Styela clava: one gene and its partners. The protein of the gene in region 4 purifies or fractionates together with the protein of the main gene of each other region. This does not show direct contact. Links are inferred from orthologs where the notes say so. Each region holds a gene or a part of one and is shown on either strand. Other genes may lie near its edges. The genes, in order: proteasome activator complex subunit 3-like, TGF-beta receptor type-2-like, uncharacterized protein LOC120332416 and 26S proteasome non-ATPase regulatory subunit 14.

What was found.
Region 1: the proteins of 26S proteasome non-ATPase regulatory subunit 14 (region 4) and proteasome activator complex subunit 3-like purify together in Homo sapiens (affinity purification with mass spectrometry, with the first as the bait; 3 studies listed by BioGRID). This does not show direct contact. The link is inferred for Styela clava from reciprocal best matches to the Homo sapiens genes PSMD14 and PSME3.
Region 2: the proteins of 26S proteasome non-ATPase regulatory subunit 14 (region 4) and TGF-beta receptor type-2-like purify together in Homo sapiens (affinity purification with western blotting; 3 studies listed by BioGRID, with this or other methods). This does not show direct contact. The link is inferred for Styela clava from reciprocal best matches to the Homo sapiens genes PSMD14 and TGFBR2.
Region 3: the proteins of 26S proteasome non-ATPase regulatory subunit 14 (region 4) and uncharacterized protein LOC120332416 purify together in Homo sapiens (affinity purification with mass spectrometry; 11 studies listed by BioGRID and IntAct, with this or other methods). This does not show direct contact. The link is inferred for Styela clava from reciprocal best matches to the Homo sapiens genes PSMD14 and PSMD10.

The regions. Positions count from the first base shown.
Region 1 is NC_135250.1:5,804,058-5,811,602, reverse strand, and holds proteasome activator complex subunit 3-like, read left to right. Parts: upstream 1-4,543; 5' UTR 4,544-4,594; coding exon 4,595-5,368; 3' UTR 5,369-7,472; downstream 7,473-7,545. Other genes in the region: exocyst complex component 2-like, read left to right, coding at 7,516-7,545. UniProt on the Homo sapiens protein: Subunit of the 11S REG-gamma (also called PA28-gamma) proteasome regulator, a doughnut-shaped homoheptamer which associates with the proteasome. 11S REG-gamma activates the trypsin-like catalytic subunit of the proteasome but inhibits the chymotrypsin-like and postglutamyl-preferring (PGPH) subunits.
Region 2 is NC_135252.1:2,400,362-2,407,379, reverse strand, and holds the start of TGF-beta receptor type-2-like, read right to left. Parts: upstream 3,022-7,018; 5' UTR 3,004-3,021; coding exon 2,764-3,003; intron 2,407-2,763; coding exon 2,235-2,406; intron 1,797-2,234; coding exon 1,556-1,796; intron 855-1,555; coding exon 754-854; intron 381-753; coding exon 245-380; intron 1-244. UniProt on the Homo sapiens protein: Transmembrane serine/threonine kinase forming with the TGF-beta type I serine/threonine kinase receptor, TGFBR1, the non-promiscuous receptor for the TGF-beta cytokines TGFB1, TGFB2 and TGFB3.
Region 3 is NC_135262.1:2,710,894-2,718,376, forward strand, and holds the start of uncharacterized protein LOC120332416, read left to right. Parts: upstream 1-4,470; 5' UTR 4,471-4,473; coding exon 4,474-4,602; intron 4,603-5,944; coding exon 5,945-6,189; intron 6,190-6,801; coding exon 6,802-7,129; 3' UTR 7,130-7,483. UniProt on the Homo sapiens protein: Acts as a chaperone during the assembly of the 26S proteasome, specifically of the PA700/19S regulatory complex (RC).
Region 4 is NC_135263.1:668,322-676,150, reverse strand, and holds the start of 26S proteasome non-ATPase regulatory subunit 14, read left to right. Parts: upstream 1-4,816; 5' UTR 4,817-4,893; coding exon 4,894-5,019; intron 5,020-5,538; coding exon 5,539-5,616; intron 5,617-6,139; coding exon 6,140-6,252; intron 6,253-6,718; coding exon 6,719-6,869; intron 6,870-7,829.

The DNA of each region.
Region 1 (7,545 bases), on a different chromosome or scaffold from region 4:
ATAAAATTCATTCGCTAATGTGAATCAGCGTTGTTGGTGTCGCTGCTTTCGAGGTCACTCGCCACTCCTGTCACACAATTAAAGTATTTTTTGTTGTTGGTTACACGTATGTCATATTTTTCATAATCTACCTAATAAATTATGATTGACTGAGGAAGTCCGATTTTGGTCAGGCAAAACATTACAGGAATACATTTGTGTTAGTGTGCTGTAGGGCTCTCGAATTGCATAGTTCTTATGTATGTGTTGTGAACTTATGGTTATTGAATTTCCGGGAACCTCTTATATTCAATTTCGCATCAGGATTGTGGAACAAGCTGTAATGCGTTCAGTATGTTCATTTTCACACTAAACTGAAGGATTTATTTAGTTACCAGATGTGCGCTACGAAACTCATTTTCTGGGCGTTTTCAAGGCTTCGTCTCACGGCCCATATCCGTTGTAAGGATCTACAAGAGTTTAATAACTTACTTATACATTTTTCAATAACGTCTTAGCATAACTTAACTAATAATAACTAAACAGGGCTATGGAAAGGCTGCCCAACTCAACGCAAGCTCGAGCAGTAATAACTAATATTCATCCGCTCGCTAACAGCTGATTCGATTCAATTGTTACGTCATGCAGAAGTCATTGTTCATTGTCGAAAATGTAGAGAATATAGGACAGATCGTAGCACAGATTTTTTGTAGTAAAAGCGTCTTTTCCGTAAAACGTGCAACTTTTGGAAGTGGGAACAAGGCAATATTTGTTACTACATTTTTAAGGAACATTTTTAAATCATTTTCAGGTAGTTACCTGATGTGCGCTACGAAACTCACTTTCTAGGCGTTTTTCATGGCCTCGGCTCGCGGCCTACTATACCAGGGGTGTCAAACTCGTGCGTTTTCAAGGGCCGCATTGCATTTTGGGAATTGTGCAAAGGGCCGCAAACAGCTTTTGATATATTTTGATAATGTATACTTAAAAGCATATTTTCAGATATGTGTAGTGTGTGACATATATTGTGATGCAATTAAATAGCCGAATGAAGTTGTTATTTTCTGAAATTTTAAATGGCATTTACATAATAATTTCTTGGTATTTCACTTATTATTGCAAATTTATTTATTCCAAAAAACAATTTTTTTTTACAACTATCCAAAACATTTTTGAACAAAGATTTGATAAAAGAATAATACATAATAAAAATGACTTAATCTAAATATATACCCCTAAAAGACTAACGAATAAACTCCCATGTTTTTTTTTTTTATTATATATGTCCTGACGTTTGGCATCTTTTGTGCCACCAGCTTACTAATATCGGGCTGAATTGATTTCACAGTATCAACTCTAATTAACGAGCAGGGGCGTAGCCAGGAATTTTCAAAGAGGGGGGGGGGGGGAGCTCTGAAATTTAGGTGTGTACGAAATGTCGCACAACCTGAAGATAGTATGTGTGCCAGGTTAGGGTTCAGGTTGTGCGTCATCTTGGTACGAATACTTTCGGGGCGCCGAGTTGACAGCAAAAGGTGGTCTGGCAAGAGCAACAGGCCGGAGGCCTCAAAACGCAAGGTTTCTAAGAGAACTGAATGTTTCCCCGAGCATCAACTTCCTTGTTTACTTCGGGACATTGGCCAATCAGCAAAATGCAAAGAGTGACGTGTTTCGCATCCGCTCAGACTGATTTTCAGGCGTCGCCGTAAACATTACCACGTTTACGCGTTTTGAAATCTATTCGTTAATTTTTAGTTCTGTTTCGAATATTTAAATGTAAATCAAATAATTCAATGATCACTTTGTCTTCTTAGAAGTTTCAGTTTAACTGCAGTAATAAAAAATTAGTGTAGAAAATAGCTGCAATAGACTAGGCTAAAATTCTTCACCGGTACTTTTACAAAACAGATTGTGGAATGCTATGAATCAGAATAATGGTCTGAAGCAAAATACCCCATTTTACAGGCGCCAACTCGCAAAACCACTCTTTGAATAAGCACCAAAAATTTTGCGATGGTTAAGTATAGGAAAAAATTGATGGGGGTCAAAGGTCGGGGAAAGGTCCATAAATCGCCTTATTCAGTCACAATCACATCGCTTCTACTTGCCACGGCATCCGGAGCCATAAAGTTTCATGCGCTTATTCGGCGCGTGGCAAGTCGCGCCTATTAGTCGTCGTTTTTACACATTCCAAAAGGGGGGGGGGGGGTCGACCATTGGCATCACGTGGCATATGACCGCTTGGATTATGATTTATATATATTGATTTTTAGTAACTAGGTAGTACGATAATTATAATATAAACACATAAAAATAAATGTGCCAAATTAAACAATGTGCTTTAGAATTTTGAGAAATACAGAAATATTGCAACCCCCTTTTTTTCGAAAATGCCAATTTCTTTGTGTACATTGCGTTTCATTTAGTTCCTGAAGTGTTGTTTTTTTCAATTCTTTTTTGCTAGCTTGAAGTGTATCCATAATTGGGTCAAATTGAAAATAAAAAAATCAATTTTTCAAAACTAGTTTTTGTAAATTGTCCTTTTTGTGTGTGAATAATCAATTAGATAAAAAATACTTACAAAATAATTACAATTATTGTTAAGCGTTCGAGGGCCGCATTGGAAGTTCTCTGGGGCCGCATGTTTGACACCCCTGCCCTATACTGTAATGGTAAATACGGCTGTAATGTATTTATATGGGATCATCTCAGATCGATGGAATACAAACAGAAAGTACTACATAGTACCCATAATAAGAGTACGTTTACCACCCCCAGCCAAACTCATTGATCCAGCACATTATAAGGTCAGATATCCGCATTTAGAGATGAAGCCTAATCAAAATATCACAAACAAAATGACAACATATGTTTTGATCAAATCCTCAGCCAGTAGAGCGCTAGAACTTTATTTCAATATTCAAACATACTTTGACCAGATACATTGCCGATAAAATGTTTAGGGTAATCGTTCTGGCTTTCGTAATTTTGAAAGTAAACCGTTTCGTCTGAATAATTCGATCACAAATAATTTTATGCGCAAAAAATTATATTGTGTTGGACAAGAAATTGAAGAGTTGGTGCTTGAATAACAAACCTTAAAAACTTTAATCAGGTATTTTAAATGTTTTCTCGCGTTATTGCTTGCTTTTGGAGTTATTCCTCGGAGGGGATGTTTTCTGGTGGGAACTTTGTACAAAGGGTTCCCATCGTTTTATATAAATTGTTATTAATAGTTTCCAATATAAAAAAGTGGTGTTGACAAGCGACGTCCTATTTTCTATACTAGGATGCATTACAAGTTACATTGCATTATATTGTCACATCTATAATATGGTAAATAATGGAGGATACGTACGCTAATCACCTAAGTAGATTGGATAGTACGTTAAATTTAGATACATTTTGAGAAACTCGAGGCTATAATAAAATGCCACGGCACCAGAACATGCAATGAAATCCAAATCCAAAAAACGATGAAAATCAGAGAGATTATGCTTTCGGATCATTACGAATCACATCAGCACGACAACACTGAAAGTCGAATTGAGTGACACCAGGCTAATCATATCGGCCGCGGGAAATTCTCGTTTCTTTGACAAACGTGAACCACCCTGCGACGACGAGGAGTCTGGGACGTCTCTCGCACATAATTATCTTCACAGGATGCGCACCTGCTGACCCACACGGGGAAATCAGCGGTGCGATGCCAAATGTGATTCTAACGGTTAAACGGTTTACGATTCCGGCGCTACAAATTACTATTTAATCAGCTTGTTGCGTAGTTTTTAGGAAAGACAGCAGTATTATCTTACGACGTGCTAAGGTCTGTTTGATTTGGAGCCTCGTTACTCGCACACTACCCAGTCCGGTTATCACTTTATCACAGCTTGAAGCAAATTATCCGTGAAGAACGTTAGGTTGTTTCCGTTTTCAGTGTATATAAGACAAGTAATTATAATATTGATTCAAATCCAAAGACTGCGCTTCCCAGTTCTACGAATGACATTGGAATTTATTCTATCCGGAATTGACTCCGCGCAATACCATGAGTCACGATGGGCTAAAAAGATTTATTTTGCGAGTGGCTGTTTTCTGAAAGTTTTGAGATTTTAATTTTCATATCTCAATATAAGACGATATTACCGGTAGTGTATAGCTCCTCAGTAGTACGGGAAACCAAGAAAAATAGATAAGAATTCTCATTGATTCGTGCAAGTGCAGTGGTGACAGAGTTGGAGTTTTGGAATCGAGATAGGCTGCCGATACGTTCGTAACCGGTACCGAAAGAACATAGTTTGGTCAGTTTTTCTCAGTTCGGAAGGCTGCTGTAGTGACTACCCCTATAATTCAATAACCCTTACTCTGCCTTTACACTACCGGCTGGCCGGCACCATTTGTAAATTTTGCTACAGGCAGATAGACCACTGGCCTATAGAAACTAACAGTACTAGCGTTTTTCATGTTTTTATGTATAAGCCTTTTACTTAGGCCTACTAAAACTATTTACTGCAGTACTGTAAAAATTGCTGAATTTGATAGCAGAAGGGCTTTTTTCACATTTCCACACTCTTGTATTACAGGTATTTAACTACTAAAATATCAAAATAAAATAATGGATCAAGATTTACAAATCAAGGATAAGCAACTGAGGAAAGAAATTTCTGATTTTAAACTTGGAATCGCTAAAGATGCTGAAATTTTAGTCAATGAATTTTTTCCAAAGAAATGTATTGAACTAGATAAATTTTTAAAAGAAGATGTTTTACAGACTGAAAACGTCAGAAACATTGCACAAAAACTTGAAATTCCCATTCCAAATGCAGTTATTGTGCAAGACTTTAATAACGTTGATGGTCATGTTACGAGCCCCAAAAAACGTAAACTTGATGTAGGACCGGGAGGTGACATTGATGGTACCAAAGTATTTTCATTTGCTTGTGGTCCAGTGCCCTGCAATAAAAATCTAATAGCAATAATCGATCGAATAAAACCCGATATTCGTCTACTGATGGAAAAAGTTAATACTGTTCGAATGTGGGTGACTCATCTTATTCCAAAAATTGAAGACGGAAATAATTTTGGAGTCTCAATTCAAGAAGATACTCTTGCAGAGTTGAGACAAGTTGAAAGCGAAGCGGCTTCATTTCTAGATCAAATATCACGATATTTTGTCACAAGAGGTAAAATTATCACCAAAGTAGCAAAATATCCTCATGTTGAGGACTATCGTCGCTTTGTTGAGGAGATCGATGAGAAAGAATTTCTTAGCTTGAGACTTATAGTGTGTGAGCTGAGAAATCATTATTCCATTCTTCATGACTTGATTCTAAAGAATATCGAAAAAATCAAGAAACCGAGAAGTTCAAACATTGATGGAATGTATTAAAGTCTAAAACTTTGGCGAGAGAGTATGATATGATCCAAAAAACTATAGAAAGCCAGGATATTATTGGACTCAAGATGGCTGGTGCAAGAATTAGTTCATCCTCTGTATTTGGCGAGGCATTTTATTGAAAACATTTTTATTACGAATAAAAGTTCACCATGAAATTTTTTTAGCTTGGTAAAAAATTCATTCATCTGTTTTTATGCTTATGTGTTTTGAGCCTGTCTAATATTGTCACAATTGCTGTTTCGCATTAATTTACTATTTTATTATTTCATTCAGTCTGCCATTCTTTGTGTTTTATCTGGCTTTTATTGTGAGGGTATTTGAATAAATTATTTGACAAACTATGGAATCAGAATGATAATACGCAGGTGATGGATATACAATGATAAAAAATATTGTCCAAATTCCAGTTGCTAAATTTAGGTGTATTGTTGAATTTAGGAGGTTTTGATTGTATCTTATTTTATTATCTGGTTCAATTATTGTTAGCTCTGAGTGTTTAAATCTCGTTTTTAAGTTGTCAATTGTCTAGGATGCCCATTAAAATATATTCTAATCCGTATTTATTCATAAAGCACAACTGTTGGTAATAAATGCCTTCCCTCCCCACATGCAAAGACTTTGAAAGTGTTAAGATACTATTTTCCAATAGTTGATTGTTGTAACATTAATAAGTGAAGTATCACTTAGAAGAAGATTCCTCATACTATTTAAGACTCTGACCCCTATTAGTCAATCATTTACTGATTACCAGTTATACAAAATAAAATTTGATTTCCAAATTGTCCAAATACATAAAACCTGTATTTGTTGCAAGCCAAACCCAGTTGGATTACGACGTTATGACCATATCAAAATAAGACTCCCTGTACTATTGAGGACTCCAACCATATTAGTCAATCATTTACTAATTACTAGGTATACAATTTGATTGTTTATTATTAAATAAAATTCCAAATTTCCCAAATACATAAATTCTGTATTTGTTTTAAGCCAAACCCAGATAGCTTATGTCGCTAAGACCATATTGTCAATATTAATATTACTATACCCATTCCGATTTATAACCTTGATGGTTTTCCAATAAAGGAATCTCGTTGTTAAACTGCCTGAATCAAGGTACTACATATTCCTGATTTCAGTATATTTATACCTGTTACATCTTGTCCTCTTCGATTTTGTAAGACATGTCTGAAAAATTGGGATCTTTTGTAGAAAGCCTCTGACAAAAAAACATCCCAGCGCTCAAAATAATAAAAAATTGGTGATTATCCAATTACAATTAAAGAATGATAGAATTCATCTGTGAATTCAGAGATGTCAGGGTTAGCGAACCTACAATTACCTAAAACAGGGCAGGTGAGGGTGTTGTTTTCAAGGTGGCGAGAGCTTTCTATAAAAGGTTCAAAATTAAATTGGTAATATGGTGGGGATGGAAAAAAAGACCTATCTTTTCAAGCACCATTTTCACCAGGTCTGCACGGTCCGATCAAGTATGCAATTTTGGATTCAGGATTTATGATAAAATTTAACTCCCGCTCATGACTCCGTAGTAGAATCAAATACAAAAACATTAGTAATTGTCGTATTTACTGTTTTGTATGTATATAATTATAATGGGTTAGCATTGTATTCTGTGGTGTCTGAAACAGTCATTTTTTTCTTGTTATTTGTTCTTAGACGATTGTTTTGTAGTAGCTCCCAACCAGTGAAAAAAACATTGCTGAACAGCATACTATTTATCCAAACTGATTTACCACTGTATGTGGTTTGTACTTTATTCCATATTTGTTTAAATAAATACTGTAGAATTTCACAGCGATTATGACGCAATAATTTTACATTAATGCTGGTTGCAATTTTAGAATTGGTGATAATTTTGACGGCTTGGCGCATGTGATTTTATTATTGCGATTGTCAAGTTATGTAATGGAAGTGAACATCCTCATTAATTGAGTTCATCGTAAGTCATTATGGCACTGTTTTAAGTGAATATTCCTGTAAAAAACCTGCCATCTAATCGCGGACATGGTGGCCATTTCCGTCTGTATTTTCTTCTTTCAATGTAATGAATCAGTGATATTAATTCTTTGTACAGCCTGGTAGTTAATTAGATTTCCTGAAAGGGGTCAAGGGTCATAATGGGACCACCACCAGTTGTGACAGGAGTC
Region 2 (7,018 bases), on a different chromosome or scaffold from region 4:
ATAGATATACAAAAATATATTGCAGCTGTATCGCGCGATCTTGAAGATGTTGTTTTCAAAAAGTAGTTTACATGGGAAACAAATGCCTTCCTAAGTATGTAATAAAAATTTAACAATGGCTATCTATTCTTGTCTATTTTTTTTCAAAAATGGAATGCGGGAGCCGTTTTTGCCTCAGCCTACAAGTATGCAAAGACAGTTTTCAAATACTGATAAAAGCCAATTAAACGAGGTTAATTTTTACCTTTCCGAAAGAATCTCTTTCTCCTGTCTCCAAGCACCGTAGTTAGGAAGTCTGAATACTTTGACAGAAATAACTTTGCTTGTTTGATTATCCTGCTGTAACTTCGCTTTCCAAACTTCTGCAAATCTTCCTCGACCTATAAAGGGCAGACAAAAAGTTTAATACTGCAATAGATGCCAATGGATTGTAAAGCAGAGCGAAGTTTCGGTCTTGTTTGATTTCGTAATGTTACGTGGGAACGAATAACCAGAATGCTTTCAGATTTTTTGTAGGCTCGTGCGACGAAATCTAAATGATTGTTCATGTACATACGTACAATATATATCAATAAATCTAGACTTAGTGACTAAGTGCGTCACTTAAATCTAGCTATAATTGGATTAACTCTCGAAATCTATTTTTAAGAACAATTACAGAAAGAATCTGCAATATTATGCTTAGCACATTTCAAAAAATTTAGAGGCCGGGAGAGGAAAAGTTAGTCTGTTTAAAGTCAATATTATGCGTACCTATTATTTTGCTCTTTTCAATAGGCAAATGTTGATCGTTTTGGTTGAGAGCATTTCCTTTCGATCCTCGACTATAGTGTGAACTTACGCTGTTTGAATACCTATAATAGAAATGGTTGTTTTGATCATAATAGAATGAAAGCATATAGCAAGCATCTGACTGAAACTTATAAAATAGTATTCAACTCAAATATCATAAATCCTAGTTTTCTCCAAATGCATCGAAATAGTAATATGCCAGTCACAAATTACCTGGCAATATGGTAATACTCAGTACAGTATATACATATACATTTCCAGTCTGATATTTATTATAAAATGAACCAGTTGCGGAAAGGCAAGTTTGAGTACACTGTGTTGCGGGTTCCAATACTTCGACCCAGGGCTATTCAACTGGGTATACGGGTATACATACCAAGTCAGATACCGGATATACAAATAACAAATGGTATAAAAGGATTTAAAGCTATGGCCTGGGCCTAATATACTACAGCTCGTTTTGTGCTTTTGAAAAAGATACGCGCAGTTCACGTTCAACACTAATACTAATTCATAAGTACAGTGTTAGTCTGTCCACGACCACAAACCAGAGTAAGACTTCTGGCATGACTTCACGAAACAACTTTTTACTATATGATATTAAGTAAACTTTTTTCATTTGTGGGGTATACAAAGAGGAAAATTGGAAAAGATGTAACACGTAGTAAAAAGTTGAAGTATACCGCTCAAAACACAATGTTGATTGCAAATAGTGAAGCTAAATTAACACAATGTCAAATGAAATTAAGCTCCAACAACTTACTTGTAGGTTGAGCAGCTATGTTTTCCCATTTCATCCCATGCACTTTCTAATAAGCTTGAACTATCGGCTGAAAATCGACTTTGACCCGCGCCAGCCATTGCCTGCTTCTCCTTTTCGTCACTTAGTTTCCTTCGTCGAACGACAATCAGTCGAAATAGCAGGATAATGGCGACCACTAGGACAACACCAACCGCTATACCGGATGCGAGAGTAGCCGTGATGTCAGCATCTTTTTCTTCTTCTGAACAAAATGAATGCTCAACAAAAAGAGTATCAGGATGACACGGACAAGACGCGATAACTTAATTCTTAAATGATACAAAATCGTTGAGTTTCACACAATTTTGCCACAGATCTCACAAAGAATCTTCAGAATAGTAAAAACGATACAGAGAATTTCTTTAGTGTCAACGTATTTTAAGCATTTTGCACAGAAACGTTGGCGGTATACAAGGTATATTATTCGGGAGAATTAAGGTCTGCGGTGATCTTAACAGCATTTAGTACTCTCGACTGTATTGAATAACTACCATCGCATAGGTACATGATTAATTATGTTTGTCAAACTGAATATAGTCATACAAAACGTGGAACATGGACAGACCCGACAATAGGTTGTGTTAACGCCACTGCCTTAGTGGAGATGTGCTATGGATTTGTTGAAACTTTACAAACTTACTCGCATCAGTCGGAGGTTCTATCTTCATTAAAACAATGTTGGAATTACAATTATCAGACTGACACGTACAGCTAACTGTGCTGAAATTCTCTTCAGCAATATAGTTTGGTTCACGAGACTGAATACAAGTAGGCCCCAGATCCTCTTCGCCGTACACAGATGCAATATTTGTCTGAATGTACATGAATATATTTATACATATATTTAACATTGATACAGAACCCTTGTCAGATTATACAATAAGGCGTTTCATATAAGGCGCAATTACCAAATTAATTTTCAAACTTAAGGGCCGAACTGTTAAGTAACAATTTTAGCAACAAATAAATTCTCAAAATAAATATCCTATTCGTTTTCAACCGAAAAATGATGTGAAAAAATGATTCATAAAACATTTGCTGAGGAGTTGATATTTTTTTTTAGAAAATCGGGACTTGCATCCCATACACCTATTCTTATTATTCGTTGACTCACTAAATCCATCTGCCCATTGGATATCCACGAATTGAATAAGCTAAGTTCACTTTACCTCGTTCATGCACATTGTGAACGCTGTGTCTTGCTGATTAGGTTTCAAGGAAACAGTAAGAAGGCATGTTCCTTCACATGTATCTGTCTGTTCACATTTTTGTGTGTAGCAGTGCGTCACGTTGCATTGTGCGTCGGATTCTTCACAAGATAGACATCCCATTGATACAGTCATATACGGCAAAGAAAATAAAATCAGGACAGACAATATGCCAACATTAAGCTTTATATGTTTACCCATGTCCGTAGTAATAAACTGCTAAATGGAAAGTGATAGAGTTATATTATTAAGTAAAATCCAAAAATAAATTTGATGGGCAAATGTTGAATGAGAAATAAATTGTTTTAAGATGTTCGAGTAGGTGGCCGTACATTTGAACCCATACATTTGTACCCGTTGCATCCGCGGGTTCAGTCTATATGATGGTGCTAAAATCCATGGGTTAGGGTTAGTATGGGTTCAAATATTCGTAAAAAAATTCCATAGGTTCAATTGTCGTGGGTTCAAATATAATGGAACCGTTCGAGTAGTTTGTTTGAACTTGGAAAAAGTTCATTTTATTCGGTGTAGATATTTAGAAGATCGAAACTATCGTTTTGCTGTAAATCACGATACATTTTTTGAATTGAAATTTAGCATATATATAACGGTTTCGTTGTAAAATAAGTCCGTTCAGAACATTCGATCTTATTTTCAATGATATTTTTCCGTTGTACTATTCGCATAAGGACAAATTGCGAGATTTCTGTCTTCGGGGCAATCAGATCGGGTAGAATAATACAGGGGCCCTCTTTTTAATTAATAAATCTTGCTAAAATGTTATCACTCATTTGGAAAAATACAAAATTTCCCTTAATAAATATCGAAAAACAACCACAGGAACTGCTTTTTAACTTCCGAACGTGTTAAAGTATATTCCCCACGTAATAAAGTAAACACATTTTCATAAAGTCGTCCAGATATTGCTATTCTAACTGTATTTTTCATAAAAATCGGCGTGTTTGTAGAACTAACAACGACTTAAGTTGTACTCGTGTTGAGCGAAAGAATACTAAATCAAAACCAACTAGATTTATATTAAATATGTTGATTCTCCTGAAACAGAAAATGTTTATTCATCAATTATTGGATAAACCAACGATGGGATTCGATTCGAAACCCGTCTTCCTAGCTGAGCTCTATACTCTATGCAATTGTCCGCACTCAGATAAATAATTGGAGCATTTTTTCAAGTAAGGATAGTATCCACATAACTGTTTGAAATAGTATTCCAAATATCTTATTACCTATGCCATTTTGTGATACGCGAATGGCAACCATTAACAGATCAAAATCTGGCGTTGTACGAAAAATTTCAACTTTCGTTTAGAAAAAGTAATCAGTAACAATCAATATATATTAGAAGGTTCCATTACATTTGAACCCACAATAATTGCAACTGCTTACTATTACACCTATGGAATTTTTTTTTACGAATGTTTGAACCCATACTAACCCTAACCCATGGATTTTAGCACTCACTTATAGATTGAACCCGCGGATATACGGGTGCAAATGTATGGGTTGAAATGTACGGTCACCATATTAAAATAATAAAAAGAACATGCCAAATGTTTAGTTTTTGAAATTGTATCTTATTTTGTATAGAAAGCAGTAACCAATCGGATTTTAACAGCATTAACGGGTGGTCCGATGCATCAATTTCGAGTTTGTGTTCTTATCTTAGCTTTCAAGATTATGAGCGTGAGTTCAGCTTAAGATTCCAACGAATGGAACAGTTAGTTTATTATAGACAGGTTTTTTCGTCATTATGTTCAGGTGCTGACCAGGTTTGAATATTCTGCATAATGAAATGCGTTGTCTGATAGAGTTTTTTTTAATTTTTAGTTACCTAGGATTATCTGTTTACTTTCAGAAGAAACCGTATTTATTTGGAGTTTCGACACGTTTCAATATCCAATAACTTTTAATCTGTCTCGATATCGCGAAGTTGAATTCTCAGCTCAATACAAAATGTTCGAAGTTTTGTGTTGAATTATGCTTGGATGTCATAACCTATTGTAAACAAGTGCGGTAAGATTTTATGAGTATTCTCTTAGTGGCATTAGATAAGATCAAAATTTGAATTTGTGTTTATTCGGGTGCAGTTTGATATTTATTCTCAAAGTTTCAAAATGGTACATCCAATGTAAACTTTACTTGCAGCATAGGTTAATTACAGTGGCCTTGTAAAAGGGTTTCACTGCCGTAACATCCGACGTCTAAATTCCCTGGGGTGGCATTCAATGGACTTCAAGAATTATTACCGGAATGGCATACTGCACACTTATTCATCACTTTTATGTTATAATTTTCTTTAACAACAAGGTACCTTAAAGTTACTGAATACTGTACATTGTAATTATTTTTAGTCAGTAAATGTTTCCGCGCAGTTCATGGATGGAAATATGTTTGATTATAAGGTATTGTCTGAAATTTGTTTCACGCGTAACTGATTTACGGGCTCCTGTAATTTTTAATATTGTTAACTTTACGTGAATATTAGGATAATATCCAGTAAACTTTCACTTCGGTTAATTAAAATATGATTATATGTAATGGAGATTTTGAAAAAGTTTTGAATTCAGCGAAATCAATTTAATCTCGCAAATATTTCGTACGCGGGAACACTGCGAAAATCGATGCGATCCCGTACGAATGCCCGAAGCATTAGTCGGCTGACGCGACTGAATCGGAAGCAAAGTCGGACTAAGCGTAATTACAACGGTACTCGTACTCACTTAATTTCAATCCAAATTTACGCATTTGAACTTCTTAATTTTGCTGAAATATGGAACTCTCGCATGATTAAGCGGACTGCTGCTCTTTACTCAAATAATGCTATTATTGAAACACTCACAGCTTCCAACGTAAGTCGCCAGAAAGTTAGGGAGTGCCCAACGAACATTTCCAAGTTTAGGAATCACTCTACTGTACTTTCACTGTAGTACTTGTTCGATGTTTACTGAAAGCGACCTCACTAGATTTGTATCGTCAGCAACATTCATGTAACCATATCCTATTTCCAGGAAGTAATAAATTGTTCGCATATTCGATTACCCGTATCGTGGTGGTTTCATGGCAAAAAGGGTTCCATTTTACAGAAAGATTATAAGAATTTGCCAATCACAAAAGTGGCATTGTTGTAAGCTAAACTCTTCGCTATTCTTCTGATTGAAAAGAAACGACATTCAAACTGGAAAGGGTGAAAACCAGAAATACGTACATACAATTTATGAATATTTCATACAAAGCTTCCGCCACGAATGTAAAAATGTGAGATTTAGGAAAAACACCCCGCCACGTTTTAATATAAAAAAATTAGTAATTATCGAGTTAGGAATGCTTTGAAAATTTGAATTCCCAGCCCAATATGAAAGCCTAACCCTGATCCAGAATGGATAATTAATAATTTCCCTATTTTAAACGTCGGCGGATTTTTATTTTGCGGGAGCTTTGTACAAACAATCCCGAATTATTAACTGCCTTAAATTAAGACCTTTCGACTACCAAACCCCAGATCAACAACTTGAAGTACCCTATAAAGTTCTGAATGTAATAAATCGGCCACGATACATGCGTTTCGGCGTTTTTATTTTCCAGAACTCATCTTATTCTGATTACACTATTTTCTCAAGCTTGTGCACACCAAATACTACAGAAATCGATAAATTTGTTTATGCTTTTATGCCTTGACAATATGATTTTACAACAACATGAACGAACTGAACGCCTACTCGACTACAATTCGTCACTGAGCGACGAAAGTCGATACGCTCGTTTACTGTTTACTGAGAGCGACCCACTTCGCTTTGTCGAGGATGGTTGGGAGAAAGTGATGTTTGGTTACGCTTCGAGAAACCCGAGTTACGCGTTCGCATACAGCCCCAGAACACAGTATAAGGGCTAATTGTTGAACCCGATTAATTAAGATCAGGGCTTAGGCTAAGCTCAAAACGTTGAGTCTGATTTGTTTAAATATATTAGCGTAAGTTGGAATAATGTCCTGACATATTGACACCATTTTCTCATTAAAATTCTAAACCATCTCGCAATAAGTTTCATTGTGTGTTTTAGGGAGTGTATTGGTAATATATATTAAAATCTGAAATTTAAATTTGATAATAGGAAGTACACAAAATGAAAAACGCGTAACCTCTCTAAACGAAAACTACAAAACACAACAGGCTATTAGCCATGACCGAGATTTGAATAA
Region 3 (7,483 bases), on a different chromosome or scaffold from region 4:
TATGTAATTATGAAACATGTTAAAGGTTGGACTAAATGACCTTGCGAGCCACAATTTTTCCGACTTCTTACTTGTGAGAGCTAGCACCATTTTACGGTTAAAAGTCTATCTAAGTGGGTTTATTTAACAAAAATGAAGAAGCCAAAACTTTTTGTGGCAAATAGGAGATATAGGCTATTTGCAGGTCACTCGAAGAACTGCTGTACTTGCTTATGTTATAATTCTCTAATAGTTAAAGGCAGTAAATATTTTGTCGGAGTCAGGAAAGAGTAGTTATGTTGCATAGTTAAAGTTATAGGATTAACAGCTGTCTTGTTAGCATAAGATTTAGAATGTTATTATTACCAAACAATTGGCTTCTAATAAAGTAATATGTTTATCTGGAAAATCATAATCTTGGTTTTCTGTTCTGCAAAAATGACTTTGACTTCTTGATTAATGAAAACTTTGACACAGACTCTGGGTTTGAGACTCTAATGTATTCTATTTTTAATCAGAATACTTGGCGCAATTTAAATAAATGCAGTTGCTATTTAGGTTTAAAATAATATGGCCCATACTAGGTAACTCGAACGAAACTGGCGATTATGTGAAGGAACAGTGCTAAGGGAGTTGATTAGAATAAGGAAACACTACCACAATTCGTCTTACCAGAACTAATAAATAATGTTCTAATGGTGATAGACACTGCATTTCGCGCGGGCCCAAATACCTAATGAAATTTTCAGATATTCTTAATGAGAATGCTTAGTCAACTCCAAATGTATTTTTTTTTTCAGTTTCCATGAAAGATTTTGAATTTGATGTCAAAAATTTCCCCTTTTGGAGAGTTTGAAAAATGTGACTCTGCAATCAAGACAAACTTGCCAATCTTCATCCCTGCAGCTGTGATTGCAAGTCAATGCAGCATGACCAATCAGAACAATTTTACTCCAATTACTTACTCACTATATCATTCCTATTTTCCAGAATAAATATGACTTACTTGTTGGCTGTTTGACTGAGAATGCTACGCGCTGTGTGTTTTGGTATTTACTGTTGGATTTGTATCGCGTAATACCAACATGAGCAAGGCCCATCCACCGGGATCAAAGAAGTTTATGGATAAGGATTGGATTGCATACCGTGTTTTTGCATAGACTGTTATGAAACATTCAATCTATTTACAAAGCTTGTTTATTTAGTAACAATTTTTTGTTACTGTGTTATTTTTGCACAGAAATTGAACTACAGCATCACCAATGTTCCCTCTAATTTTTTGTAGTATGTGTGCGCAGGAATTTTGGTGTCTGCGCACTTTTTTGGAAATGACTAATATTTGTGCAAAAACCAATGAAGAAATTTTGGCGTTCTAACCGGGTAATGGGTGGGCCAACAACAAACTTTCTCAACCTGCTAACCGAGAATATTGTTACATTACATCGAAATACGTCTGTGCGCAGCCTCTGAAAGCTGTGTGCGCGCGCGCACTTTAGAGGGAACACTGAGCATCACCATTTCGACAAGTGTTTTTTATTCCCTATTTCCATAGAAAAAGCACTGTAGTGTATTTATTAAATTGTATTTATAAATTGGGACCCACCGAGTGTTTATGTTTACACAAGTTTAATGCCCGAACGATACCCGTTCGTGTCTTCGTCTTTTTTATTTTAAATATATGTTTGTGTTGAATGTGGGTTGTATATGCATGTATATTGTCACGGACCATGATGTTGTTACCGTGGTTGTAGAATGAATCAGAAGACTCAAAGGTTCCGGATTGGTTGTTTATTGTTCGGCAATTCCAATATCAGACTTAAAACAACATAAACAGACAACACAACAAAATATAACTAAGGAACCGAAAACACGACCGCCCGCCAGCGCGGCAGCCGGAGAAGAGAGATCGAAAGACAGTTTTTGCCTCACATGTAGTGAGTGGTCGGAGTCCAAATCCGACAAAACAGCATTAAATAAATGTCAACATAACAGTCTACGGACCTTTCCCCGAGTATCGACTTCCTTGTTTATTTCGTGACATTGGCCAATCAGCAAGATGCGAAGAGTGACGTAACAATGCCCCCCTTTTCGCATCCGCTCAGACACTTTTCTCACTCAGACAGATTTTCAAGGCTGGTTGTAAACATTACCTCGTTTTCGCGTTTTTGAACTCTATTCGTTAGTTTTTAGTTGTATTTCAGAAACTTAAATAAAAATCAGATGATTCAATGATCACGCTGTCTTCCTAGGAGTTTTAATTTAATTGCAGTGATAAAAATTATTGTAGAAATAGCTGTGATAGACTAGCCTGAAATTCTTTACCGGTACTTTTAAAAAACAGTATGTTGTATGCGATGAATCATAATGATGGTTTGAAACACATACCCCATTTTACAGGCGCCAACTCGCAAAAGCACTCTTAAAATAGCCCTGAAAATTTTGCAATGGTAAAGTATAGGAAGAATTTTTCGAGGGTCAAAGGTCGGGGAAAGGTCCATAAACATAAAAATATATATATACACAAAACATAAACGCGGACACTTTAGTCCGCGACAATATCTACAAAGATTTTGCCAGTTTCCCCGATTTTCTCTTCTTCTGTGTGTTCATTGTTTGTGTTTCGTGTATGATTTTTGTGTGGGAAAATCTAAATATACTTATACTTTGAATGAAAATGATAGTTTTTAATGCGTGAGCCTGTTTGTAAGCGCCAACTCTCCTGAACACTCTCAAAATCAGCGTTGAAAATGTTGCATTGATGAAGTATATATATATGATTCTATTACAAAAAATCGTTTTGTCGGCAGTTGACAATATCGTTATAATTCAAAGTATGAGTCAAAAGGTTACATATACCATACTACATAAAATGCCAGAAAACTGAGCGCAAAATATTTAGAACATCTGAAAATAAATTTGTTTTAGTGACGTTTTATTCCAAATGGATGATAACTGCACGCAAACTCGCGTATCGTCATTTTTTTCCCCCTTATTCAAGTACCCAAGATTGTGTTTGTAGCAATCTTGAACTTTTTATCCTATTTAACCCATCTTTAAAAATAGATATAGTAATCACATTTTCGTAATATATTCACTTGAGCGCATTCTTCATACCAGGTCAAAGGTTATTGAAATATGTTATGTCATGTTTCCATGAATAGACAATTTTGCAAAGGAATGCGGGGAGCAAGCGTCAGTATCGCCATGGTTATATCGCGTTGTGGGATGTCAGAGGCGATAATATTTATGATTCTTTTCAAGTGGCATTCATATAAATAAACATGTCTATTTAATCGATATAGCAGGCTTGATTTTATGTCAAAGGGCCATTTAAACATATAACAAAGGCGGTCTCGCGAGCCCTGCCTTTATTACATTCTTTGAGTAAAATTATACCCGGCCTTTTGTCTGACTTTAATTGTTAGCTAAGGCGCTCTGTCGGCGAAGGAAGTCGGCATACATCTGGAGGCTGAATATCATATGTTTATGATTAAAATTGTATCAAATGGGAATGTTTTTATGTAATTATGAAACATGTTAAAGGTTGGACTAAATGACCTTGCGAGCCACAATTTTTCCGACTTCTTACTTGTGAGAGCTAGCACCATTTTACGGTTAAAAGTCTATCTAAGTGGGTTTATTTAACAAAAATGAAGAAGCCAAAACTTTTTGTGGCAAATAGGAGATATAGGCTATTTGCAGGTCACTCGAAGAACTGCTGTACTTGCTTATGTTATAATTCTCTAATAGTTAAAGGCAGTAAATATTTTGTCGGAGTCAGGAAAGAGTAGTTATGTTGCATAGTTAAAGTTATAGGATTAACAGCTGTCTTGTTAGCATAAGATTTAGAATGTTATTATTACCAAACAATTGGCTTCTAATAAAGTAATATGTTTATCTGGAAAATCATAATCTTGGTTTTCTGTTCTGCAAAAATGACTTTGACTTCTTGATTAATGAAAACTTTGACACAGACTCTGGGTTTGAGACTCTAATGTATTCTATTTTTAATCAGAATACTTGGCGCAATTTAAATAAATGCAGTTGCTATTTAGGTTTAAAATAATATGGCCCATACTAGGTAACTCGAACGAAACTGGCGATTATGTGAAGGAACAGTGCTAAGGGAGTTGATTAGAATAAGGAAACACTACCACAATTCGTCTTACCAGAACTAATAAATAATGTTCTAATGGTGATAGACACTGCATTTCGCGCGGGCCCAAATACCTAATGAAATTTTCAGATATTCTTAATGAGAATGCTTAGTCAACTCCAAATGTATTTTTTTTTTCAGTTTCCATGAAAGATTTTGAATTTGATGTCAAAAATTTCCCCTTTTGGAGAGTTTGAAAAATGTGACTCTGCAATCAAGACAAACTTGCCAATCTTCATCCCTGCAGCTGTGATTGCAAGTCAATGCAGCATGACCAATCAGAACAATTTTACTCCAATTACTTACTCACTATATCATTCCTATTTTCCAGAATAAATATGACCGATTTGATAGTAAATATGTCAGCTGGAGTTTCAAACGAAGAAATTTGTAATTTTGCTTACGACGGACAACAAGCTCTACTGCAATACAGAATATCACAGAAGCCACAGTTTGTCAATATTAAGGTGACTTCTCATTTTCATTACTTATCGATCTTAAGATCGGTAAGTATATTGATAGGTATTTGTCTGTATGTCTGTGTGTGTGTCTGTTAGATGCACGCGATATCTCACGAAAGCGAGATTGAATCTGCTCCAGATTTTGCATGTGCATTCATCTTATCTCGGACCAGAAGCCTATTGATTTTGGGCGAATTATGTCGTATAATTAGCGAGTTATCAATCAATTATTGATATAGTGATCTAGATTTTTGTAAAGCGAGAGAATTTTGAAACCCGCCGAGTGTGTGTGTGCGATGCGCAGTGCGCAAGTTACAAGAGCGGATGAATCGAAACTGCAGTTTCTGTTTTGGGGGATCCCCTAACTATCGATCGATAAGTCTTCGGTTTCCAACCGATATTCTCGTTTTATATTTTAATTGGTAAAGATGATTCAAGATTCTTGCAGTATACACGCATATATTATGTCAGGGGTTCTCAATGTTTTGGTGTTACTATTGTTTACGGAACCCCACAATAAATTTATAAAAATAAAAAAACACATTGTTATTTACCGATTATTGCTCCTGAGTAAACTGAAATTACTTTATTTAATGATTCAAATGTATTCGCTGCTTAGTTTTAAAAAAAAATATTCCTCTGAGTTTCTCTCACAGAGCCCTGGGGCTTCGTTTGGTTCACTTCAAGAACCTATGTATTATGTTACGTTTCATTTGACCAGAATCAAATTCCTTCCTACAAACATATTTTAGTTGTTTAGTTACTTATATTTTTATTATATATTTCTGTGGTATATTTACCAGATAAATTCACACAAGCCACTTTAAATATATAGGAATTAAATTTGGTAGAATAGTAGCGCTAGGGATGAACATCATTTTGATTAGTTTTCGTTTTTACAGTGTCAAAAGTTAAACTAAGCCATAATAAAATAAATTCATGTGAATATTCTGTTAAAATCTTTCCTGGACCAAGAATCACTTATAAATGCAATTGATCCGAATTTGTTTGAATTTCCAATAATATGCTTTGGGCATTTCGGACTGTCACTCACCATATAGGCCTACATATGATAAGTATCAGAATAGCTAATTAATAGTACCAGTATGAGTGACAATTATTGCTGTTTTATTAAGCCATGTCTTGTTTTGTCTGAAGAAATTAGACTATGATCTATTGAAAGCTCACAAATATACTTGCCATTTCGTGGAAAGAGATTATGTTATTCTTATTTAATCATTCTTCTTATTTTACAAGCTAAGAGTTATTGGGAAAGTATGGTTCGCCATATAATTACCTCATTTGATCTTTCCCTTCAGGCAAATAAGAAAATGTTTTCCTATTTTAGGACCAAACAGATCGAACACCACTACATTGGGCAACGTCTGCTGGGAAGCGAGACATTGCTGATTTCCTATTGGACAATGGAGCTGATGTGAATGCAAAGGATGACAGTGATTGGTCAGCTCTTCACATTGCTTCGTCAAATGGGAATGAAGAGATCGCTTTTGCACTGATGTCAAGAGGTGCTGCGATAAATGCAAGAAACTCAACAGGACAGACTCCTTTGCATTATGCTGCATCGAGAGATCGGTAATTTTGTTACTCAAAATTTACTTCGTGTACTATTTGGTTTTTTTTTATAGGCAATATAAATGAAAGAGGGTTTTTTTCAATAAATAATTTATATAATTAAGATATACAGTAATACTAAACAAAATGCCCCATATGCTCAAGTAGTTGGTCAAATAAAATGGGTCTGGTTTGAGAATAAGAATGTGGAACAAATTATTCGCCCCAGATGGTAATGAACATGGCATTTTTGATTTCCTTCATTAATTAATGATTTAAACAAGCCACAAAAAGCAGTTATTCAATGTTCTAAGCTACAGTGGCTCTTAAATAATGCATTTTATTTAAAGATAATAGTTAATATTAGAGACTATTCCTTGTGTAACAAATGAAAAACCTGTGCATTTATTAAGCATCTTTGGGTGAAGGTATCGGATCTTAATACCAGTGACAATTTATTCAGAATGTATTTGAGGGGACATAAAACCCACTTTGCTTCCATCTTTTTGCCTGTCACACTCTCATGTAATAGAATTCTTTGTGACTTGGGGTATCCTGCTCATCTCAACTTTCTTTTACCTAGGATCATGTATGAAAAATTATTCCATTCTGACATGATATTTGCTTTTACAGATACAAAATTGCAGAGGGTTTACTCGCCCGCGGGGCAGAAACAGACGTAGCGGATCATCTCCACGCAACACCGTTACATCGAGCTGCTTCACGAGGGAACACTAAGATGGTGAAGCTACTACTTGCATACAACACAAACTACAATTGTACTGATTCAGAGGGGAACACTGCTCTACATTTAGCTTGCGAAGAGGATCGTGTCGACATAGCACAAACACTCATCTCAGCTGGCGCTGATACTACAATTCGTAATAAAAATGATAAAACACCAATAAGCCTGGCATCAGACACGACACGTGGTATACTTAGGCGTGTAAGAGAAGCGTAAATAAACACTATTCATTTCCCTTTTATCCCCGGTTGTTCTAATCGACTTTTAAGTGAGTACTTTATGTCAAACTAGAACAGCAAACTACCCATGGGTCTACTAATCAGTCCAGCTTTCAAAAAAATTTCATCTCCAACTTCAAACCAACTTTTAATAACAAAAACTTTCAAGAATGCAAGCTTTCGTGAGCAGACTTTATAACCTTTATCTGAAGAAAATTTGTAGACTTGTATGATGTTAATTTAGATTGTATTCAGAGCCTGCTTAAATACCGGTAATCAATTTATTTTACTTCAAAACAATATTATCCATCACGTTTTTGATTTTATACCACTTTTTCGTTTGATAATTCAG
Region 4 (7,829 bases):
CATTTTGGTACAAATACTTTCGGAGCGCCGTCTGAAGAATACTTTTTTATTAGAGCTTCAAACAAATATAAGATTAGAATTTTCATCTTAATCTTGGGGAGAGGAAAGCTGACGATACGGATTGATCATATGGTTACTGGTAATCTACTTACACGTAATCGTATCCCACAGGATTAGAGCTTGTGAACACATACAGGGTGAACATTGTTGCAATGTTGTTGTTGGAAACTCTCATTATCAGGACTGGGTAGCAGTATTCGGTGCCATGGAGCTGTGACATTTTGGTGAAGAAAAAGCTTGCCATGTTAGATGGAGCCAGAGCTACCAGAAATTTTATTGGCTCCAGCTTCTAAGCATCATTCTCAGCTAATAATGTTGATTTAAAACGAGAAAAAGAGACCGATATGACGGCACACATTATTTCAAGTGCCAAGTTTGGATCGGAAAGTCAGTTGAACGCAAAAAGAATATCGGTAAAATGAACCTCGACTAAACTTATTTAAGAGCAGGTTGCGAGACCAATGCGACACACCTTCGACACGCCACACTAAACAATGCCAATTGTTTGAACAACAAACTATAGCGCTGACACCGACAGGCACCTGATATTTGATTCATGGCAAGCATTAGTTAAAAGTACTCAGTACACAAAACTCCATACCCAGCTCAGCTTTGAGTAATTCTATTTGATTGTATTACGATAGGACCAGGATGTTTGGTTGTAATAAGACGGGATGGGGTGTTTGGTTGTATTAAGATGGGTAGAGGGTATTTGGTTGTATTAAGATATGACGAGGTGTTTGGTTGTATTAAGAAGAGAATCGGAAGTTCGGTTGTATAAAGATGGGAATAGGATTGTTTGGTTGTATTAAAGAAGGAATGCGATATTTGATTGTAATGAGGAGGGAAGTGGGAAGTTTGGTTGTAATAAGATGGGAAAGGGATATTTGGTTGTAATAAGATTGAAATGGATATATTAGGATGTGCATGAGACATTTGGTTGTATTAAGAAGGGAATTGAAATATTTGGTCATAAAAGATAATAATTGCGAAATTTGGTTGTATTAAGATGAATAGGGATATTTCGTTGCATTAGGATGGATAGGGATGTTTGGTTGTATTAAGATGAATTGTAATATTTGGTTGTATTAAGATTGGAATTGGGATTTTTGGTTGTATTAAGATGAATTGTAATATTTGGTTGTATTAAGATTGGAATTGGGATTTTTGGTTGTATTAAGATGGTATCGGATATTTGGTTGTATTAAGATGAGTTTGGGATGTTTGGTTGTATTAAGACGGCAACTGGATATTTGGTTGTATTAGGAAGGAATGGCTTGTTTGGTTGTATGAAGATGGGAATTGGATTGTTTGGTTGTATTAAGGTGGAAATGGGACATTTGGTTGTATTAAAAAGGGTTTTGAAAATTTGGTTGTATTAATATGACAATTTGACATCTAGCGATAGCTGTACCACCCTTAAATTAATCAAAATGCAGAAAATAAATTGCACGTGTCCCAATGATTTCAGTATTATTAATATGAGTTGGTTAGCACTAAGCCTTGGAATCGAATAAATGTTTGTTCAATTCACAATGTCCTGGCTTTCTGTTCATATATACGGTTAGCCCAGTCATGATTATTTTCACTAATGGCTCTATTGTTTATGCAACCTTCATCAATTAATCTAAACTATGCATTCCTGCTTTATTTTCAAATGGTTGATTTAAGAAATCGAGATTGTGTTTATAGTTTTCTGTGTTGCTTTCAACAAGCTTAAAATATACAAAATATGTTCCCTAATTCTGTAATCAGTTTTATTTATTTTTTTATTTTTTTTCAATAATTTTATCGTCTTTTATGCTAGCTGTGGAGTCAAAAATAAACTTATAAAGATTATATTTCAATATTTGCTGTCCTAGCGCCAGGACAAACGGGGGACTAGCATTCTAAAACCTCATTTGTTGATTAATCTACAAATAGTTCCTTGGATGAGATAGATTTGAGAAATACACAAGAGAGAGAACAATTTCTCTCCCCGTTTCAGAGTAGTGAGTCAGTTTGCATAGGATATATTCCGATGCGAATAGTAAAGAAAGAAAACGTAACATTAGATAAATGTTCAAGAAAACATATCATTTGACTCTTGAAGTTTGAAGTCATACACAATTGCTAGTATCCTCTTATATGTCAGTGAAGTATGTATGGAGTCATGATGAAAGAGAAAAAATGTAAAACGTAGGCCTATAGGAAAAATTAACAAATGACCCGATCACATGAAAACCAACAGCGTGTCGTCGGTTTCCAGTTGGGTTATACATTAGAGTAGACCAGCGTTTCCCAAACTGTGTTCCGTGGTAAAAACATTAAAAATACGTCTAAAATGGCCGCCATGGCGATTTATGGAACCTGAAGTTGTCGCCCAACTGACCGTTCGATATCGCGTCATCGTCGGCCTAAAGTGAACCAACTATAGGGTAGTGGCATTTTCATTAACCGTCGGTCTAGCTTGTTGACTGATAGGTTCATTACAGCTATGCTGCTGATTTTGCTAAATGCAAACAAGTAGGTCTAAAGAATAAAGGGGGCTCCCGAAGTATGCGAACCAAGATGGCGGACATCGGAATGTAATATGTGTACTAGGTTAGGGTTAGGCCATAATTTTAGGTATAAATACTACGGGAGGCTCTTGGCTAGTCTTCGAACTGATAATAGGACTAAAATAAGGAAAATTGGAAAAAAATTATCGCCTAACCCTAACCTGTTACCCATGTTACGTTCCGATGTCCGCCATCTTGGTTCGCATACTTCGGGAGCACCGAATAAAGACATAAGATCAACTCTTCTTCCTCCATATCTGCTTGGTTTTACTTTGAAATGCTGAAAAAATTGCTAAACTCTATTCAGTAGATAAATAAACTGCAGGTTTGCCGCTCGCGAAATTGCGGCAAGCACCTTTATCACCATTAGACGTAACATTAAGGGCAAACACTACGTTAATTTAAATTAAGAAACAATAAAACATTTATAATATATGCAATTTGTGAAATATTCAATCATATTTTAGGTATGTTTAGCACACTTCTGTTAGTTTTCGCGGCCCATTTGGCAACTTGCCACGAGAACCCATTGGGAACCGCTATATACATTAGGCCTACAACATTTTTCTTTATCCATTTTACTTTTACTCTTTCATTTTTTTGTGTTCCGCGAGGCGAGATAAAAATTGTAAGTGTTCCGTGGCCGAAATAGTTTGTGAAACGCTGGAGTAGACAATCCTTGGAATAGTCAGGTTGCTGAACAACCGCCGCCTTCATGGTTCCTATTTCTTTATTTCGAAGTCAGTGCGTCACGGAGCCATTGGAATATACTGTGGCGTCTCTGGGGTATGGGAGCCATTGCTCGTTCCATGGGCGCCGTTTGATTAGGGTAGCACGAAGGCGAAAATTTTAATTGTAAAATTTTCAACGAAATAATCCAAAGTGTAAATGATTGAATATCGCGTTTTTACTCATAACGTATAAGTATCTTAATTCAACAGCAGTCGTTAAAAATTGTCATTTAACGATCAAGTGGCGCATATATTTGGTATAAGTGCGTTTGTTATAAGTGCGTCTTGATGAGCGGGCACATGATACTCATCATGTTTTAAATTTTTTTAAAGGTTTTGCTCGAATTCTCCATTTTTAATTTTTTTTGTATTATCATATTGTGGAGTTTTCGAAATAAACTATCTATCTATCTAAGTGTGGGTTAATTTTGATTACCCGAAAAAAAAGAATACTTCTTCTTCTTAATGTAAGTAAGAACAGTAATAACAATACACTATCACCATTTTTTGATGTTTATTAATTTCAACTTCTTGCGTGTGAGAGGTAGTGTCTTATTTCCAAATAGTTTCTGTGTGTTCGACTCGTGCTACAACTCAATTATGTTACGCATCAATGAATACCATGAATAAGCAAATATCGTTTACCCTAGTCATGATTATCGTGTGTGCCTGAATTTCGTTTTACCTGTTGATGCCCAACACAGGTCTGCAAGTGGAGAGTTTGCGAGTTTCAGGCTTTTGTAGTAAGGGTATGCCTCAGTAAAATATCTGGATAAACTTGGCATTATGGACGGGACCTGGCAAGGCACTTGTATTCATTAAGTCTGTAAGTTTTGAAGTATAAGTTTTATTTCAAATCAGAAGCCTACAGCTGTCTGACTGTACAACAACGATAAAATAATTGTTGAAAAAAAAATTAAAATTGATTACTGACTCTAGAACTCTGCCTTTCTATTAATTTTGAATATACTGTATTGGGTATCAGGCATACCCGTACTTCTTTCTCGTCTTATTGTTTATATTTGTAAAATACTAGTACCGGTAAAGGATTTATGTTGAAAGGAAATTTTCCTTGACAAGTAAAAAAAATTACTCAAAAATAGCAATGTCAAAATGTTGTATAGTACAGTAGTGCGTATCTAAATTATGGAATTTATTTTTTATAATAATAGCAGGTTTATTTTGATTAGCATGAAAGGTGATAGAATAATAGCCTAGTTAAAATAAAATTAAAAAATAGCCTGCTAGCTGAATGGTTACAGAAAGCTTAAGTGTCTTTAATAGCTTAAGTGTTTTTTGTAGGTGTGCTGGTGAGCAGAAGCATGGTACTTTCACTTTTTTGCTGTTTCAAGGGTTTTACTTGCTCTGCAGAATTCTCCATTTTAATTAGTGTATTTAGGAAGGAAGGATTTACATAATTATCTGTATTATGGAGTTTTCAAAAGTATCTATCTTATACAGTTAGACTATATTAATTTGTTTGAAATTATCATATCTCAGACTTTTTAATGAAGAAACTACGAGCTGTTTCTCACATTTCAGCTCACATTTAAAATATAAGAATGGATAGGTTAATGAGATTAGGAGCGGGTGGGGGACTTCAGGGATTTGGACAACAACCCCAGTCTGATGCTCCCATGGTTGACACAGCAGAACAAGTTTATATTTCATCGTTAGCTTTATTAAAGGTGAGAAATTGTGATTGGTGTTTTTTATTTCTTGTGTTTTAAACGCCAGTTTTCAAAATTTTCTGTGTTCGTCTTGTGTATCATACTTCTTTTTATCATGGTGTAGTTCAAAATAAAATGTCTTTTTTTTATGTCTCATGGTTTGAAACTCATTTGTAGTTATATTGCTCAATTTCTCTCTTAGGTCTGTGAGTGTAAAATGTAAAATAAAATTAGAATAATAATATAGTCAGAATAAATTAATCATATTTTTGTATTCATTAAAAAAAAACTAGGTTGGCTTCCCACTTTGCGATAAGTATTAAATTTGCAATGATTAATTTCAATAACCTAATCAATGTTGAAAAATCTAAGAAGGTATATTGGTCACTGAATCCAACACTAGCCACTTACCCTTCCAAAATTCCCTCAAAAACAATGAAGTTACAGCATAAACAATGTTAGATAAATCAAATTTCTGGATAAACCTCTGCAGGCTCTTTATGCAACTTACAGACTAACATAAATTTATCTTTTCAGATGTTGAAACATGGCAGGGCTGGCGTACCAATGGAAGTCATGGGTTTGATGCTCGGAGAATTTGTTGATGATTATACGGTGAGATATTGTTTGTACTCAATACTGACTGAAGATTGTAATGAATATCTGTATTTTTATACACCTTTCACTTCAAACAAGACTCAGTTACCCTATGACACCAGAAGACACAAGGAGTCCAGCGATCTTCTCTGCATATAATTATCCCTATTTAGGTATAAATTCATTACGACTTCATAATTCAGCATAAAAGGCAATAAAAGAATTAATGAAAACAAAATAAATATGATTAGCAAATCAGGAAAGTGAACAAAATAATAAATAAGTGAGGGTTTGAACGTACAAATTTTAGATGAAAAGTGTTGTCAAAAGAAGTGTTCATTCACACAGAATTTGAACTCGCGACGGGTACTTGGAGGTGCAATGGAAGGCATATTTCTAACTATGAGCATGATGTGTAAACTGCCAAGCCTTCTTCCAAAAGCTTACAATGCTTGCTTGTATGATGTTAAGATGGAGTAAAACACCTCATAAAAACTCGGAACAAGTCAGGGCTGATTATAAATTTTATCCTTTTTAACAGGTCAGAGTGATTGATGTATTTGCAATGCCTCAGTCTGGCACTGGAGTCAGTGTTGAAGCTGTGGATCCGGTGTTTCAAGCCAAGATGTTGGACATGCTGAAACAGACTGGAAGGTATGCTGATATTAGTTGTGTCAGCCTACTTAGGAAAGTGTGGGGAATTTTGTTTGCTTCGTGATGATAATAGAATAACAGGATTTCTATATTTATCCTTTTGGGAGTGGGAAGCCCAGAAAATGATGTTTTGGGTGGTACTGGTATCTGACTCAGATGACTGTGAATGGTTGTATCGATACCACCCAGTCATCTAAAACTTAATTTTTCCCATTTTGCTATCATATATATTTTATATGTTTTCTGGTTTAACGAAAAAAAAAATTCTTTCTTTCTCAATCATATGGCGAACCAAGGACTTTCGTCTGGTTACCAGTTCATGCAGAGGCATAGTTGGCTGGTCATTCGTTTCAAACGCATGGACTTTTGAAACAAACATGTTTGACCACTTGATGCTTCTTATGCAGTGTGTTTTGGTTTTAATAAATGTGTTGAAATGACTAATAAAATTTTTTTTTTAATACAGGCCTGAAATGGTGGTAGGTTGGTACCATTCCCATCCTGGCTTCGGTTGCTGGCTATCTGGTGTGGACATCAACACCCAACAAAGTTTCGAAGCGTTGTCCGAACGAGCTGTTGCCGTCGTGGTCGACCCGATTCAGAGCGTTAAAGGAAAGGTTAGTCTTGTCATTATAAATGTCTAGAACAGGGGTTCCCAAGCTTTTTTCAGGACGACCCCAAATACATCTTTCAAGTTTCCAGTGCGACCCCAGGTCAATATATATATATATATTTCATGAAACTCTAGAGCTTGTTTCACTGGACTTTTGAGTTTGGTCATGTCGTGGTATTAAGTAAAATAAGCTAAAACCAAACAAGCGCCTACATTTTCTATAGAATAAGCATGCCTATGTTCCTGTTTTAAAGTAAGCCATGGACTACAAACTGCTAAATTTAACTTGGTTTGTCAAATCTTAGATGCTTTGTACATCCATCCTCTACCATACCTCAGCGACCCCATGACCTGTTTGCGACCCTACCTACTTATCACTCAAACCCAAATTGGGGTCGCGACCCCTGGTTTGGGATCCCCTGGTCTAGAATATAATTGTTTTCTTCACTGTTGCTTCAAATAACGCTCGGTACAGGAAAGCAATCAGACCACGGTCTCTCAAGCTGGGCTCTAGGGGCCATGGGCGGGCGATTCTCTGGTAGTCATTAGCTAAGACTTTCACCGATTATTATTTTTCAATTCTTCAACTGTAATGCATATTTCCATGTTAGTGTTGTGGAGATTCACATAAATTATTACATTCATTTAAAACTAATACCAAGTACTGCAATTTGTTTTCCATAAAGTGGTCTGTAGCAAAATAGGACGCTCCAGAAGTGTGTGTACCAATACGGAGGTAACTAATTTTGTTTGCTTATTTTACATCAAGTTGTGTAAAGGGACTGAAACCTATAGGCAGGGGATATATTCACTTGGCTAACACAGAACCCGCAATAGAACTAAAATAAGGAAAATCGGAATAAAATTATGGCCTAACCCTAACCTGGTACACACAATACTGGAGTAGCAGGAATAGTCTGTTAATTCCAATAATTCTCAGTTTGATTGAGCTTTTTCTTTCCAG